2 linked regions of the Lepisosteus oculatus genome follow. The protein of the gene in region 1 purifies or fractionates together with the protein of each later gene. This does not show direct contact. Links are inferred from orthologs where the notes say so. Each region holds a gene or a part of one and is shown on either strand. Other genes may lie near its edges. The genes, in order: sclt1 and kiz.

Region 1 (8,862 bases):
CTTAAATAGGACCTGCGTGACAAAGTGAATTAGACCGAAATATCCTCAAAAGCTAGACATCATGCTGCGATCTAAAGAAATTCAGGAACAAATGAGATACAGAGTAGTTAAGATTTATCAGTCTGGAAGAAGTTATAAAGCCATTTCTAAAGCTTTGGGACTACAGCGAACCACAGTGAGAGCCATTATCCACAAATGGCGAAAACATGGAACAGTGGTGAACCTTCCCAGGAGTGGCCGGCCGACGAAAATTACCCCAAGAGTGCAGCGACGACTCATCCAAGAGGTCAGAAAAAACCCACAACAACATCCAAAGAACTGTAGGCTTCACTTGCTTCAGTTAAGGTCAGTGTTCATGACTCCACCATAAGAAAGAGACTGGGCAAAAATGGCCTGCATGGCAGAGTTCCAAGATGAAAACCACTGCTGAGCAAAAAGAACATAAAGGCTTGTCTCAGTTTTGCCAGAAAACATCTTGATGATCCCCCAAGACTTTTGGGAGAATACTCTGTGGACTGATGAGACAAAAGTTGAACTCTTTGGAAGGTGTGTGTCCCATTACATCTGGTGTAAAAGTAACACAGCATTTCAGAAAAGGAACATCATACCAACAGTAAAATATGGTGGTGGTAGTGTGATGGTCTGGGGCTGTTTTGCTGCTTCAGGACCTGGAAGACTTGCGGTGGTAAATGGAACCATGAATTCCGCTGTCTACCAAAAAATCCTGAAGGAGAATGTCCGGTCATCTGTTCATGACCTCAAGCTGACGTGCACTTGGGTTCTGCAGCAGGACAATGATCCAAAACACACCAGCAAGGCCACCAAGACTTTGGAGTGGCGTCAAAGTCCTGACCTGAATCCGATTGACATGTTGTGGCATGACCATAAAAAAGCGGTTAAGGCTTGAAAACCCTCCAATGTGGCTGATTTACAACAATTCTGTAAAGATGAGTGGGCCAAAATTCCTCCTTCCGCTATTAAAGACTTATTGCCAGTTATCGCAAATGCTTGATTGCAGTTGTTGCTGCTAAGAGTGGCCCAACCAGTTATTAGGTTAAGGGGGCAATCACTTTTTCACACAGGGCCATGTAGGTTTGGATTTTTTTTTCCATTAATAATAAAAACCTTTTAAAAACTGCATTTTGTGTTTACTTGTGTTATCTTTGTCTAATATTTCAATTTGTTTGATCTGAAACATTTCAGTGTGACAAACATGCAAAAAAATAAATCAGGAAGGGGGCAAACACTTTTTCACACCACTGTATTTGGCTTCTGGGAAAATTGGCTCTGATGTGAGTGTATGTGTGTTTCTGTCTGCATGTTTCCCATGTGATGAACTGGCATCCTGTCCAGAGAGTATTCTGTCTTGTGCCTGTTGCTTGCTGGGATAGACTCTGACTCTCCCACAACCTTGTATTGGAAGAAGTGGTTAGAAAATGGTTGGACACTGGCATGATGTAATGATATATCTTACAAATCTGTTACCTGCAAGCCTCTTATTCTGGTGAGGCTTTTGATAAGTTGGAACTGATGCTCGAAGCGTAGGCTACAAGAGAGCACTGGAAGCACACAATAAACCCAGAAGAAAGATATTACTACATCAACTCTTACGAGTTCAATATAACTGAAAATGTTTCAACCTCAAGTGAAATATACAGGCACACAATTTTGACAAGAACAATATTATTCCATTGTAAAGAAGTTAACTTACTGTAATGTCTTAATCACTCATCTTTAAAAGTGAAGTGTCTGTTTAAAAAGGTTTAGTAATGTGATAACCATATTGCCAACTTACCTTTATTTTATGGTAGATGAAGTTAGTTTCCTCCTATAAATGCTACAAAAACTAAGCATCCACAGTGCAAACTACTGATAGTTTGTCAATGAATGAAAAATAAATTCTAATTAATTATATTAATTTCTGTTCCTGGACATCTACAGATATAAGCTTTTAGTTAGTAGAATATTATGTGTAATTGAATTGCTTTATATGTATTGTTTAAAACTATAAAACTTTGTGCCGGGACAATTAACTGAACAGTCAATATACAGTAGCATTTGGCAAAAAGAGATAAAGCTATATATTACCATATATACATTTAGAAACAACAAATTAATAGATAAACTAACTTATTGTGGTCAGGAAAATGTACTGTACCATTTCTAACACTTCATTCATCTCATTAGGTACCATCATATTCAAAGTGAATATATCATATACTGTATACCTAATCAGCCTCTTTAGACAAGATATGCTTGAGGTGGAAAACTTAATTTTTCTCCTTCCTTAAATTCCTACTCTATTTTGTTTAACCAGCACTTTTGATATACTAAATAATTATATGATTCAAGGAGATATGCGAGTTTCAATGTGTAATAAAGTGTAGAATACTATGATCAGCAGTGCTTAGAAGTTGCATTTTAGATGGGTTGGTACAGTTTTATCGAAATTGTTTTTTGATCCTATTACAGTTGCAGTGAATTTCTACTTTAATTGGCTTTAGCTATATTCAGTCATCAGTCAGTGGCCTGCAGGATTCTATGTAGTAATTACTTAGTAAATACACAGGTATATTTTCAATTCTTTACATATTCAATTGTTATTCAATTGTAACTTAAATCAGGTCCAAGTTTGTTTCCTGAACCTCGCCTAAATCTAATTGGAACATTTGTCTCGATAGTTGCATGAAAGAGAACAAATTTAATAAAACACTTTAACTAGGAATCATCAGAAAGTGAAGTGTTATTTGATTTAATTGGAGATTTTATATTACAGAACAAAATGATGTTATTTTTGAATGGGTGACGAGTATACGTCTAATATGCTTTCAGGAAAAGTGTTCTGCCAGGTTTGTTGGTACATGAAGTAAGGCTACTAACAAAAACAGCATCCTCTTGTTTTGAGGCATCCAGTTTACCTTGAATTGGTTTGTCACCACTGGAAGATTAACTGGCAGAGATTAAAATGGTTTTAAATAAATTCTCCTCTAAGAAATGCAAGTCAAAGCCCCAACTGCAGCATTTGGCAGGGAAATTAAATTTTGCAGCTTCACTGGTCTATAGCAGGCATTTATTCTCCAGTACATCATTAATACTTTAAAATCCCTGGGCCAGAGCTCTGACGTAACTTGGCCTTCCCAAGAGTGTCAACCATGCATTGACTAGTGGCAGCCTTTAGTGATACAGTATGCTATAGTAGTAAATTATTTTGTACCGGACCATATTCCTTATTAAGGATTTACATGGAAGCTTTATTTGAAAATGTGGGAAATAAAAATTTGGAAGATGATTGACTGTTTTTGATGAAGCCCGCTTAAATGACATTCTGATAGATGACATACTGTATACTGTAGGTCAACCATACTACAGAATCGAAAGGTATGAAGTTTAAAACATAAAGAATTTAAGCAGGCTGTGTCCAGTACATAACCTAAGATGAAGGTCATCAAAACGAAATACTGCACAAGCAAAGCCCACGAAACAGACTTCAATGCTCACTCAAAGTGATTCAACAAGCTATTCCAATACCCAATGTTTCCTGATCTCCTGCCTGGCTCTCTAAACCTTTTTTTAATTCTAAATTTTGCATGAATTATTTTTTTTAAATATTTCATTAGTACTGTACAGTAGGTCAAACTTGTATCCTATTTTGATTTTCTTCCATACATTTCAAAATATTGGAAGTTTCAAAACACCATCTCACTTTATTGCACTCAATCTTGAATTCGTTCTGCTCCTGTATTTATCTCTTCCGTTCCTTTTGTGCCCCAAGGGCTCATTTTCTACATCCTTTCTCATGATCTGCTGTTTCTGCGTCTTCTTCGGTTGCCTGAAAGATCCCTTGAGGACCACAGCCATTGCCAGGCCTGGTTGTTTGCTTTTTAAATTTACTTGCCTGTTCAAGGTAATTAAAATGCACAGGGCTTATTTCTGATGTTTTAGGATAGTTTCTCTCACGTTTCAGTTCTGTCATGGTGACAGACACCTTATAAGTGGGTAGTTGCTGTGAACACTAAACAACTTTAGCCCTGACCTGACCTGGGGATCTCCAACCAGCATAACTACAGTAGACGTGAACTTGAGTATCATGGGGACACTCAGCATGTAACTGCACAAGCCATCTGTGTTTAAGCCTGGATACTGGCCCATCTTGGCTAAAAGGGCAGAATGTTAAATGGTTCCTATACTGTATGTCATGAGTCATGATCCCTGTTGGTATAACTAGAATACCTTCTAGCCCAGGTTTCTTCTTTTACCTTAGGAAACTTTAATAATCTAACTGTTTTTCAGCCCTTTAAATAATTTTGACTTTTTTTGGTGAAGCTTATTGTAAATGTGAATATGTAAAATGTAAATGTAAATGAAAATGTACATTTGAATAATTGCTTTGGAAGGAAACAATTTTAAAATTATATTTTTGGCCTAGGTACTTTCTGAAAAGTGCAAATTTATTGTACATAAGAAACCTTTTTCAATATTTATGGTACAAGAATGCCTTTAATTCTAGAGGTTATGAAGGTTATGCTCTAAGCTTTTAAGGCATACTATTTAAGGCATACCTTATTGGTATGATCTATATTTATATAGATCATACCAATTTCTAACCCTTTTCAAACTCCCATTTTAGTCCAGACGTAACCTACAATTTTGTGGCCACTTGTGTGCATCTGTAGGTTGTCTTCCTTAAGTACTTCACTTTGATTGTATTAGTGTAGGGGTGCCCAAACATTTTAATGTAAGATTTACTTTCATTTTCCAGTCCAGCGCGATTTACCAGTGTGAATTTGAAGCTGTGATATAGGAAAAACAGACTGTGGACACATCAGTACAATAGCGATACCCATCACTAAAATTACAGCAAATAAAAGCAAGTGACTCATACTACAGTGAACAAGTATTGTTCCCCGTTTAAGAAAAAAAGAATGCTCGACATTCAGCTCATTCAGCAGTTCAGTCAAGTTTGTGAGGAATGCTAAATCCAGAAGCCAGTGGTCATCCTCTAATTGGGCATATTCACCATGTTTAGACGACTTGAGAAACTCTTTGATTTCAGGTAACAGCTGTCAAAAATGTTTGTTTTTGAAATCTCCAAACAGCAAGTCAGCAGCCTCAGGAAATGCTTTTTTTATTACTTCTCGATCCCTGAATTACTTTTTGTGTTTAGCAAGGACATGGCTCACACGGAACAATGCAATGATTGAAGCTTTCCTTCTTGTATTACTACTTCTAATACTAATTACGAATACTATTAGGCCTCGTGAAAACCGACTGCTGGTAGTTGAGATTTAAATTTTTCCACTTTTCTTTTCCCTAACTCACTTTTAGCGGGAAAGTCCACATCATACATTTTGTGTGCAGTTTTGAAATGTTGGACATTTCCCTTTTTCGTAGATGCTAGCATTGCAGATTTGAATGCAATAGTACAAAAAATAATAATGTAACACTCCGGGGTTCACATGGGTATGCGCCCTCACCTCTGCCGCCTCAGGTCAGCCCCCCACCGCTGGGGACTCAAACCCGGGCCTCTGGCGTCACTCAACAGGGACCCAATCACTTGAGCTAAAGGGAAATCTCCTGTCAGCCCGGTGGCTGCAGTCCCTGCTATTCACAGGGAAGGGCAGTGACGTCACCACGCTAGTAAGCTGGCTCGAACAACCAATGGTGGCCTTAGAGAGTTACACTCTCCCCCGCTTAATTCACCGTCCTCGGTGAAGGGCTATCCCACCCCACTCCTGACACCAATGTAATGCTCCGGGGTTCACGTGGGTATGCGCCCTCGACTCTGCCGCCTCAGGTCGGTCCCCACCACGCTCGCATTCCTTGTGTTAACAGTAAGTTTTCGTCTCTTTGCTTCATCATTTTCGCTCAAACACTACAACTATCAAAAAGGCAATCAAACTTATCAAACTGTTGGCAAATTTTATATGGCCAGTCGGTTTCGCTCCAGCATGCGCTTTAGCGAATTTGGGGCTCATGCAGCAATAACCAAGAGAACATTCTTGGGTAGCACACACAACAATCTTTATTTACGGAGCTTCTGTAACTTTTTTATCCCCTGTGTCAGCCAGCACTCAGGGAAGAGACTTTTACAACCCATTCGACAAGAGTTCAACACACACAAAGGCAGTAAAATGTATGACATTACATGCACAGATCTGAATACATTTTTAGATTATCAAAAAAAAGTAAATAGTCAAATAGCCCATTTATTTTTTATTTATCTCTTGCGAGAGATTGACTGGTAGATCGCGATCGACTGGTTGGGCACCCCTGTATTAGTGGATAAGTAATGGGCATTATCTCTCTTTACCTGTTCATCATCTTCTCTGTCTTTTTCTGTTGTAAAAAATAAAATACCGAGGTATGAAGTACAATTTATTAAGCCAGACAATATGCACAGCAGTTCAGTAAATAATGATTTCCCTAGATAGTCTTTAAAGATTGTTTTTTGGTTGTGAGTTCAGACTTCATGAATTTTGATAAAGAAAACAAAACAAAATGGCTGTCTATCACACACGATCATGTTTCTGTTGGTGGTTAATAAAACGAATAGTGTCATGTTCATTTGTGCCTTGTCAGTTTCTCCAAGATAGCCTTAGTCCAGACGCACTGCGGTCTGTTTACTCCTCTGTAATGACATCTAGCTGTTTTTTGAAAATGAAGTAGCACTGATTCATTGCAGTAATAAAGGAAAAAGGTCTGTACATGGATGGATGGATCATGGATAAATGAGTAGGGAGAAATACAGATGTGGTAGATTCCATAAATATCTTTTGTTTACAGGCAGATTGATACAAAGAAGGCTTAAAGTATGATGCTGGTGTCTAGCTGTCTTTTACTTACAAAAAGTACCAACTTTAGGTTTAAAGACTTTTTGCACTCACTTTACCTTATACTGTATATCACTGGACAGGGCTCCTGGAAACAGGATCTGGTGATTTTATCATACATTACCATTTGTGTTCTACTGTAGCATTCAGATTTTGCAAACACAAAGATACGCTTATTTTGTACATTTGAAATTTGATTAGCATTTTAAAGGTTTAAGGGATTACCTTATAGCAGCCGTGTCAGGTTTTGTTGCATATGTAAGTAAACATGCTATGAGAGATTCCAAAGCAAGTTTTCTGCTCTTTGTACTGTATACAGTATATGATGCAAACAGTGATGTACTAATTGCAAAGAGGCATCAGTGGCTAAAATAATGCAGCTATAAAGCTAACTATTGAGTTTTTTTTTCTGAATTTCATCATCACTTAGTTGATGATGATTTGTTAATTGCTGTAAAAGTATTGAGAATAATGCTGTAAGCCTGTATGAATATGGTAGTACAGTATACATTTGGAACTTTCATGCATGTAGGTTAAAATCTTGAATTTATCCCTGTAGTCTGGTAAAGGGTTACGGTTACACTCAACATTTTCAGATTTATATGTAGTAAAGAGCATACTATGATATAAATATGGACTGGTGTGAATAATTTTCATAAAATTGTCATTTGTTTTACTTAGCTTAACAGTACTTTTACAATACATTGTCAAGTGAAAAATTTTTTTTGCATTTCTGGTCTGTAGCAGTTTTTGAAAGTACTGTGCATTTACGTGAACAGTTGAACTAGAGTTCAGTAAAGAAAAATGGCTCAGTGCACAGCCTTCCAAATAATAGCACAACTCTTCATTTAAATCTTTTTCATTGGCCCTCTACCTTGCAGATCCTGATGCCTGTTACCGTGCCTTACAGCTAAGCCCACAGAAACCTGCAGGGAGCATCTACCTTTTCAAAAGCTTTTTTTCCTGCCCCACTTTTGCAACTGACACTTTCTTGTCGTTTGCAGTGGTTGTGTTAACTGACATGCACAAAAACCTCAGAGCATGTGATGGGGTGGGGAGATGAAGAGATAAAAAAATCCCTAACTATAAAAGTAGCGAGAAGGATTTCACTTTCTATGGTTTCGATTTTGAATCCTCATAATAATTCTACACAGGAACTGACATCTTACTTTGCCCATGTTATCTGGAGGCCATTGATGGTATATATGTTTTTTATCTTTTATTTAGCTCATTGTGCATTGTGAAATGATCAGTTTAACTGATAAAGAGAAGTATGACTTATTTTTGTAAAAATGATTGATGTCATTAAGAACCTATAGTATCCCACAATCCTGTACTGTATATCATTTTTCCAAACTCCTTTCTTTGCAATATTCAGTGTATGCCAGGCTGTCAGTTCAGATTCAGAAAACAGGCACAAAAGCTGTGTCTTATCTAACCAGCATGAACTACTTAGTTTCTCATACTAAAAAAAGATAAAGTCACAGAACACAAAGTGATATACAAAGATTGTTCTGCTTCCATGATGTCTCATTCCCAGTCTCTTTTGATTGTCTGTGAAAGCACTTTGAACACCTGTGAAAAAAATCAAAGAAAAGTTAGTTTTAACTCTGGAAAAGAACTAATCTTTCAGAATTGTATGCTTGTGTGAATATCTCTATTTAGAATAGTAAGATACTACTCATCATAATACACTTCAGCTCTTAGATGGGTAAACATTGAAGAAATATGCTACATAGAATTGGAGCACAATGATTGCTTGTAATTTTAGATCCTAAAAGCAGTTTTTGTCACGATCGTAAACCCCTCCTCTTAAGGACACTCCAGTCCTTCCTTGTTCAGTACTGATCTGCTGCACCTGCCTCCAGTTCCTACCTATCGGGGCTCAGCTTTGGAAGATGGACGCCTGGAAGCCCACCTACCCACGAGTCCAGGAGCAACTCGATGGCATAGGCTTCATCGCAGCGCCCTGACCTACTGAGTCTGGGATTTGGGAGCGTCTGGTCCCGTTACCCCCTTTTATTCCCCCAAC
Region 2 (8,241 bases), on another chromosome or scaffold:
GGGTTTGCAGGGGTACAAGTAAACTTCCCTTGAGCATTTTGTCAAAGTGCTGATGACAAGCTAGACAGACTTCATAATCTAACATTGGAGCCTTTGTGTTAAATGAGAAGCAGTACCTCTTTAATACCTTACACTCGCACCTCCAAAGACAACGTCTTCAATCATGTCTCAAAGAAAAACAGAAAATAGCAAGTCAAACACTAGACCAGATTATTTTTCTTGCCACCTCCTTGTGATCATAACCTTTCTTCTGTTGTCGGATACTGCCTAGTCCGTAAAAATAATAATTGTGAAACTCAGTTGCCAAGATGTTTTCCATGAATTGTCTTCAGTAATTAACAGGAGTTTCCACACATGACGTGGTTATGGTCATTCGGCTGATTTTATGTTATATCATGTTGTTACGGTCTTCATGATCAAGGCCTGTAGGCTCTTGAAATGTCCCAGAGACACAGCAAAACAACGTGAATATCCTTGTCACCCTTTCTTTTCCCTTATGTTCTCTATTGTTTTACACAGCCTTCTTCTTAGTCTGAGAAGATGTATTCTAATTGTTAAATCATAGCATCTAGGAACAATTTCTCTCGTAGATAAGCGGATGTTAACAGTGATCGGTAATATTTGGTTTATTTCTAGAAACCTAGACAGGTCTTGGAATGTAGTGGAGTCCACTGTTGTCTAAGACGTGGCTCTGAGCCCATGAGCAGACAGGGGCAGAGCAGAGCTGCAGCAGTTGCGCTGACAGAAATCAAGTCTGTTACTCAAGTGATCCATTACTGCGTCGTTCCTTCTTCCTGGTTGAGAGAGAAAGTGTTTTTGTTTGTAAGGTTTAGGTACACATGACACTTCATCTTACTTGGTATAATATATGCTCAGCTCAAACCAGACATTGTACATAACCAGTCTGTTTTGTTAATCACGTGACTTACTGTATGCTGCAAGCACTTCAATCACTGTACTCCTTACTTTTCATATACGACAAATTCCATTCACCTCCTTTAATGAATTATAACTGACGCATTGTCATTGGTCTGTGGCACATCACTTTAATTACCATAAACACATTTTTTAAAGTACAGTTTCCTGTAGATCCCTGGGGCGGAGCGGTGGCTCTGTGGCTAAGGATCTGCACCTGTGACTGGAAAGTTGCCAGTTCAAATCCCGCGGCCGGCAGAGGAATCCTACTCCATTGGGCCCCTGAGCAAGGCCCTTAACACCAACTGCTCCAGGAGTGCCGTACAATGGCAGACCCTGCTTTCTGACCCCAAGCTTCTCCCTGTCTGTGTGTCTGTGTCTCCATGGAGAAAAGCTGGGGTATGCAAAAAGACAAATTCCTAATGCAAGAAATTGTATAGGGCTAATAAAGAAACATAAACATTATTATAGATTTATGGTACTATCATTTCCAGTGTGACCCCATACAATAGTTTGGAGAGGAAAAGAAATCGAATCTTTAAGAATCTGAAACTAATAATTTGAGAATTATTTTATTTATGGCTTGCTTACCTTAGCTACGTTTCCTCCTTTCAATACCAGAAACAACTGGCAAAGATATACACTGATAGATTGTACACTGCTCATCTGCAACCCTTTCATGTTGGTGAAAGCATACTTCTGTTTTTGCCCTGTTTTAAAGGAAAGTGTGATGTTGAAACTACAGAAATTATTATGATAATACTAGTGACATAGCATTATCAACTAGCATATCAGACTGAGACACAGCAGTGAAACAGATTCTTGTTAAGGTAGTTAATGATTTGTATGATGGCTTCTGACTCTGGGTCACTTAATATCCTTCTTCTTATGGATTTAAGTGCAGTTTTTGATACTGTCAATCACAGCATCCTACTGGCTTGAAAGAAAAATTACCTAGGGATTACTGTGACTTTCCTTCATTGCTTTGGCTCGTATTTGACTACCAGGAGCCAATTTGTAAATCGTGGCCATTTCAAATTTGATGTTGTCCCACTTATTCAGGATGATTCATAGGGTTCTGTGCTGGGACCTTTAGTATTTAGTAAAGGCACATTTATATGTTGTCTCTTGGTCTATTTGGTGTCCCTGCTATACTGAAGACACTGAGATTATGCGATCTCACAAAATTAGATGCATTTGCTGTAGTTTCTGCACTTTACAGGTGGCCTGACATTAAAATATGGATGCAACAGAACATTCTTAAGCTAAATGGTGGCAAGACAGAGTTATGCTCACAGACTCTCAACATCAGCTTTGCAAAGTTGCTGACTTCAGTGCTGTTGATGGTGGTCCCTGAATCAAGCCTTTAATGGAATTTAGAAAAATTGGTCCCACATTTGAAGTGCATATTAGAAATATCTTTCTTACGCTACATAATATTGCTTGAGTAAGACCCTTGCTCTGCCTGACTGACACTGAAATACTGATATGTGCCTTTATTTAATTGAGATTAGATAACTCTAATACCTTACTCACTGGGGTTCATTCTAGTCAGTCAGAATGCAACTGTGAACCAAACTAAATGTACAAGCAGAGGTTAATGCTGCTCTGAAAAACACAAAGAAATAAGAAAAATCAGAAACATAACAAAAAGGACTCTGCATAACTCCTTTCCACTGCATATTGCACTAGCTTGCTATAAAATTTAGAGACTTTAACATTCAGAAACTCATATATAAAACAACCAATGATCTAGTTTTATATTATCTTAAGGGTTTACTGCAGAAGTACAGCTCAGGTTTTAAATTTAGATCTGCTTATTTTGGCCTTCTCACTCAGTTGACCAGGCTCCACAATGGGCAATATACTGTATTTCTTCTCATGTCTGTATAGAAATTGGCCAAATCCATTAGAGACCCGCTAAACTGTCTACAATTTTCTTAAAGACCTGCACTGCACTGCAGAGAAAAAGCCTGTGAACCCCCAATATATTTTTTGTGTAGCAATTCAATTTTTTTTGATGCAATGCTATATGAAGTAAAAAAAAACAAACATACTGTTATATGAAAGTATAATGTGAACCCCTAGTGTGCTTTATCACATTTAAGGGATTACTTATGCCAGCGTCACACTACACAAACTTTACTAGGATTTTCGAAGCCTTCATTTACATAATCATAAGAATATCATAGCTAGTTGTAGAGAGTCGCAACATGTGCCTGTTACCGTCAGTTGTGTAGTGTGACACCCCCAACGTTGCCGTCAGTTGTGTAGTGTGACACCCCCAACGTTGCCGTCAGTTGTGTAGTGTGACACCCAGCAAGCGCTCTTAACAGCCCCTACGGCTCTCTGAGACTCGCTGCGATAAAATCAAACTGATTGGCTGCCAAAACGTGGCGACCTCGCGGTACTTCACGGCCATATACGACATTAGGAGCCGTGACGAAAAGTCGTGAGAGAATCGTGTAATTACTCACCCCCTGCGATTCCTAGTCGTATAACTTGACACCCTCCTGGACAGAAAAGGCAGGGAGATTCAGCAACTGCAGTCATTATAGTTGACATGCTCTGTCATGTCGAGGCCTCTAGTGTGATGCCGGCTTTAGAATCAGGTGGTTAAATAATTAGGTAAAAAGTAACAAGTTCTGAGTCTGGGCCACCCTGTCCTGTATAATGGTACGAACCTTTGCGGCTTTGTTGCAAATGAACAGGCAAGATTTCAAAGTTTCCTCCGCAAAGAGTTGTTTGTGTTCATCAATCTGCAGATGGTTACAAAACTATCCCTACACGTTTTTGGGCTCTATCCATCCACTGTCAGTCTACAGATGGAAACTTTTCAAAGTCCAGATCTCCCTGAGAGCAACCTGGAACATCACCCAGGAAGTCACAAACAACCCAGAGTAAGCCTCATGATCTGCAGGCCTCTTTTGTTGTGGCAAGAGTCACTGTTCATGCCTCAGCCTTCAGGAAAACACTGAATGGGAGTGGAGGGATAGCCAGGAAGACACCAGTGCTCTCTGTAAAGAATTTTGCCTTCTGTCTCAAATAGTAGGCCACAAGGAAAAAATGTTTTGTGTGGCGAAAACCAAATGTTCTCTTCCAACAGAGGAACCTCATCCCAACTGTTAAGGATGTTAGTGGGAGTATCATGATTTGGATCCGCTTTGCTGCCTAAATAATTTGCCATCCTCGACAGAACCATGAAGTCTGCACTGTGACAGCTGAAGAAGGCTCCACAGCCAAAATGTTGTGTGTCTTTTCTTTTCATCATGGAATAAATCTTTACTTGTTCCTTTCCAAATTTCTCATTTCAGACATGTGGGATACCTCAGAATACAGTGTGCTCCAAACATTGACAAACTACAATTATATATTACATATTATATTTGCATAAACTTATAAAACTGCATAGAATTTATATAATACTTAGGCTTAATTTCTACTTATAGGTAATCAATTACTTTAAGTACTAGTAAAGTTATTTTGATAAAATATCAGGTAAGAGGTACAGAAAAATAAGTAGATCTATTTTTCCGTTAACATCCTTTACAAACCTTTAAATTGGGCTCTGTTGCTTCATTGTTAATCTCTGCCACTTGTAAGATATTATCCCTAAGCTTAACAATTTGTCTTCCTATTTTTACAACATTTTGTAAAGAAAGATAATGGTATCCAGTTCAAAACGTGACATGTATTTCTCACATTAAAAAAAAGATACGTTGGCGTTTCAGGATAATAATAATAATAATTCTAGTAAAACAAAAAAGAATCAAACGCACAGCACTGGATGAATAACTTGAAAGATGGGAGCAACAGCTCTTGTGAAACAAGGTGAGCAACACCTCTCTCAGCACAGACAAGGCCACGCCGCTCCAGCTGGCTGGCTCAAGCTCCCTCATGGCTCGAGTGTTTACTGTCGGTGCTCTGACAACCGGGGTAAACAAGACAGCGCTGCGCCGCCGAGCTCGGCTTCGGGGAGCCCCAGTCGGCAGCATGGCCCTTTCCGAGAAACAGTACCTGGAGAGAACCGGAGCCCTTCAGCGGAATCTGCACGAAGGGTGAGCCCGGCCGGCGGAGCTTATTATTTCCGAGTATCACGGCGCATAAATCCATTTTCTGCTTCCCCCGTTGAACCGAACAGGCCGAAGCAGGGACCTCGGACTGGATTGAAGTGGTTTCCGGTCCTGCTCGTTTCTTCAGCGGAGGGTTTTTTTTGGGGGGGGGGGGGGGGGGGTCGGAAAACTGCGCATTATCGAGTGTGAAACGGCGTTTAAACTTTAACTTTAAGAAGAAAAAATGTCGCGTCCTACCAGACATTTTGAAGACATTGTTTTACGAGCGGGGGTCTAGTCGCTGTGCTAGTGTGAAACCCCGGTAATCGTTTTTTTTTTACATAGCTGCAGTAGTTTAAACTTCGATCTCTTGTGGGCAGAAACGTTTGTAAAGGGATTTCTTTATATGTTGTTTCCTTGTATCATATTGGAAAGTCTACAAGGTTGTAAAAACCGATTCGTCTGTATGCGATATGAAATTAAAATGTAACGATAGCAGGACTCAACTTTTCTCTAGACTCATTGATTTTTACCAGTACAGTAAATTATACTATTGGTAGTAAAATTATCTCTGTTAGTTGTAACATTCCTGGAAATTTGACATCCAAATGCACTAAGGTGCACATCGAGCGAAAGGACATATGCTGTTGTCTAATATATAGGTAGGTAGGGAGGCAGGCGTCTGTTTGCTGATGAAGGAGACAGTTTAACGTTACTGCTGTATTGTTCTATTTGGGAAGCATGCAGTCCATGAATGTATATTGCATACAGAATTGTAATTCCAGTAAAGTGCAGTTTAATTTAGACCTCTTGGGTGTCAGAATAAGGATGGGAATAAGCGATATGCTTCAACTGACTAGTCCCAAAAACCAAGATAAACAAGCTTAAGTGACTTCAGTCCATCAAAGCAAACATTTTAAATTTAAGAGACAAATGTGCAGATTGTCATATCACGAGTTACATTTTCAGTAGAGGGAAAAGTTCACCTTTTCGAATATACAGTGCTCAATTTTAATTTGCTTTGGATTCGAAAGCTTTTTTTTAATAAAAAAACCTCTGAAGTTAGAAGCTTTGGCTTTATCTCTTGTGATGTCTTCCTTGACAGTGAGAAAAAGAGATTGGAGTTGGAAAGAGAGCTGTTTACTTACTGCAGGTCTGACAGAATGTGAGTATGCAAAGCGGTTTTCTTCATCTAGATGTGACTTCAGCCTTTGGCTTTGTCGAGCTTTTTTAAAAAAAACATGGGAACAGTTGTTCACACATTGTAATCTGCTGATTACAGTATTGTAATAGTGAAGTATGGTTCACTGTATGTTTATTACGTTTAAAATGTATTTGCACTTTATCTCTGTCAATCTTTCTGTAACAAGTTAAAAAAAGTAAAATTGAAACCGACTTTCCCCTCATATCGTCTGTATTCCTTTTTTAGTGTAATTCCATACATTTAACTATCTTCTTTATGACCACATATATAGTAAAGAGTGTAGAGCTTTAGAGCTTCATTTTTGTTAATTCTTAAAAGGTGCAGGACAAGCTAGACCAGGAAACATTCCTTCTTGCTGTGCTATGAAACCATTATATATTAAAACTGCCCAAGTTTAGATATTTTCATAACTAATGAACATATTATGCAGAATTAATGAAATACATTGCATGTGTATTAGTGCCTGTGCAGGATAAAGCTAATTTCTTCTGTGGTTGAATTAAATCACATTTTTCAAGCTATGGGTGATTTTCTGTTTCCAGTGTAATAAATATGCCCCACAGCAGGCACCAACAAAACTTGCTCCTCCATTTTTCCCCAGAACAAAGTGTCCATATGTTGTTGTGATGACACTTAACCTATGCAACTTTTGTTTTAAAACAATTGGAGCAGTAACTTTTGGAAATGCTGTTTGCATCCCATTAAATGTTGATATGATTGCACTTGGAATGAGTACTCCAAAGCCTTTGTTTTAAAACGAGATGCATTTTAATCTGTGGTATAAACAAACACATTTAACAGGAGAGACACTGGATGAAGTGATTGGCTTGCTGATAAAAAACTAGAATGCCATGTTATCAAAATGTTTGGGAAACAATGATCTCGTTATCCTTTGCAGTGTACTATTTAAATGTAAATATGAAAGTATCCGATTATAGGACAGTATAATCTTAAAATGCATTGTATTATTTTAGGAGACACCTTTAATTAGTGGGTTACCTTTACAATATTTTTAACTTTTCTTTTCAGATCCCAGATAAAAAATACAAAATTGCGCTGCTATCTGAAGGAGATCTGTGAAAGAGAAAACCAAGCTAAGATTAGAAACCTCCAGTTTCTGAAAGACTTTCAGCATATTGAATTGCATCTAAAAACTCTGGTTCCTGACTACAGCACATTATATCAGAAAAAGGTAATGCATTTAATGCATGTAGATTGGATAATTTAATCCTTCTTCAGTATGTACATTGCAAACAATTTTATTTTATGTTTTGGTTTAACATTTTCATTTCATATACAGTGGGACCCAAGTCTTATGTTGTGGAAAATGAAACAGAACATCTACATTTTAGAGTAGATCTTCATCTTTATAGTGGGAATGTGTCGCATTTTTGATATGTAAATGCCTATGGGCCATGGCAGTGTGGCGGTTAGCTCTTAGACCTCATACCTCTTGGGTCCCGGGTTCGATTCTGGGTTAGAGTGCCTTCTGTGTGGAATTTGCATGTTCTCTCTGGTTTTCTGATTGTGGATAGATTGAAATTTGAATCCAGCTCCAAAAAAACCCCAAGATTAAAAACAAGATGATTGTTTTTAAATCTCCACCGCAAAGACATCTTGGAGTTGTAAGAATGCAACTTCAGAGGCCTCCCCAGAGGCTCAAACGGGAAAGGCACTCAGTCGCCTGAGGGAGGCGCTCTTGTGTTTCAACAGTGCAGCGACGCCTGTGGTGTGCTCGTTACTTGCAGGCATACAGTGGACATGATATAGTGCAGAACCTGCTGTACAGGGCTGTGTTGTCTGTGTTACAAGAGGAATGGACTCAGATCCCCTGTTACATTTCTGCCTTCTTTTTAAGGACACTCCCTATACCGCCTCCTTCTTTCCCTTGTGCGATCACAGGCTTTGTAGTTATGAGCCACAACACAAAACACACGCACTTGCTTATTCCACGATCAGGTGGGTGCAATAAAAATAATTGACAAATATAATTTACAATAAAAAATAGCTTACAACTTCAAAGTGGATGAGCTCCATTGAAGGTTTGTGTACCAAAGTGGTAAGGACACA

The links.
Region 2: the proteins of sclt1 (region 1) and kiz purify together in Homo sapiens (co-immunoprecipitation; 3 studies listed by BioGRID and IntAct, counting the BioPlex papers as one, with this or other methods). This does not show direct contact. The link is inferred for Lepisosteus oculatus from reciprocal best matches to the Homo sapiens genes SCLT1 and KIZ.

What each region holds. Positions count from the first base shown.
Region 1 is NC_090696.1:36,254,118-36,262,979, reverse strand, and holds the start of sclt1 (sodium channel and clathrin linker 1), read left to right. Parts: upstream 1-5,347; 5' UTR 5,348-5,357; intron 5,358-6,362; exon of another isoform or gene 6,363-8,405; intron 8,406-8,862. UniProt on the Homo sapiens protein: Adapter protein that links SCN10A to clathrin. Regulates SCN10A channel activity, possibly by promoting channel internalization.
Region 2 is NC_090697.1:10,155,133-10,163,373, forward strand, and holds the start of kiz (centrosomal protein kizuna), read left to right. Parts: upstream 1-4,482; 5' UTR 4,483-4,812; coding exon 4,813-4,973; intron 4,974-6,072; coding exon 6,073-6,132; intron 6,133-7,200; coding exon 7,201-7,363; intron 7,364-8,241. UniProt on the Homo sapiens protein: Centrosomal protein required for establishing a robust mitotic centrosome architecture that can endure the forces that converge on the centrosomes during spindle formation. Required for stabilizing the expanded pericentriolar material around the centriole.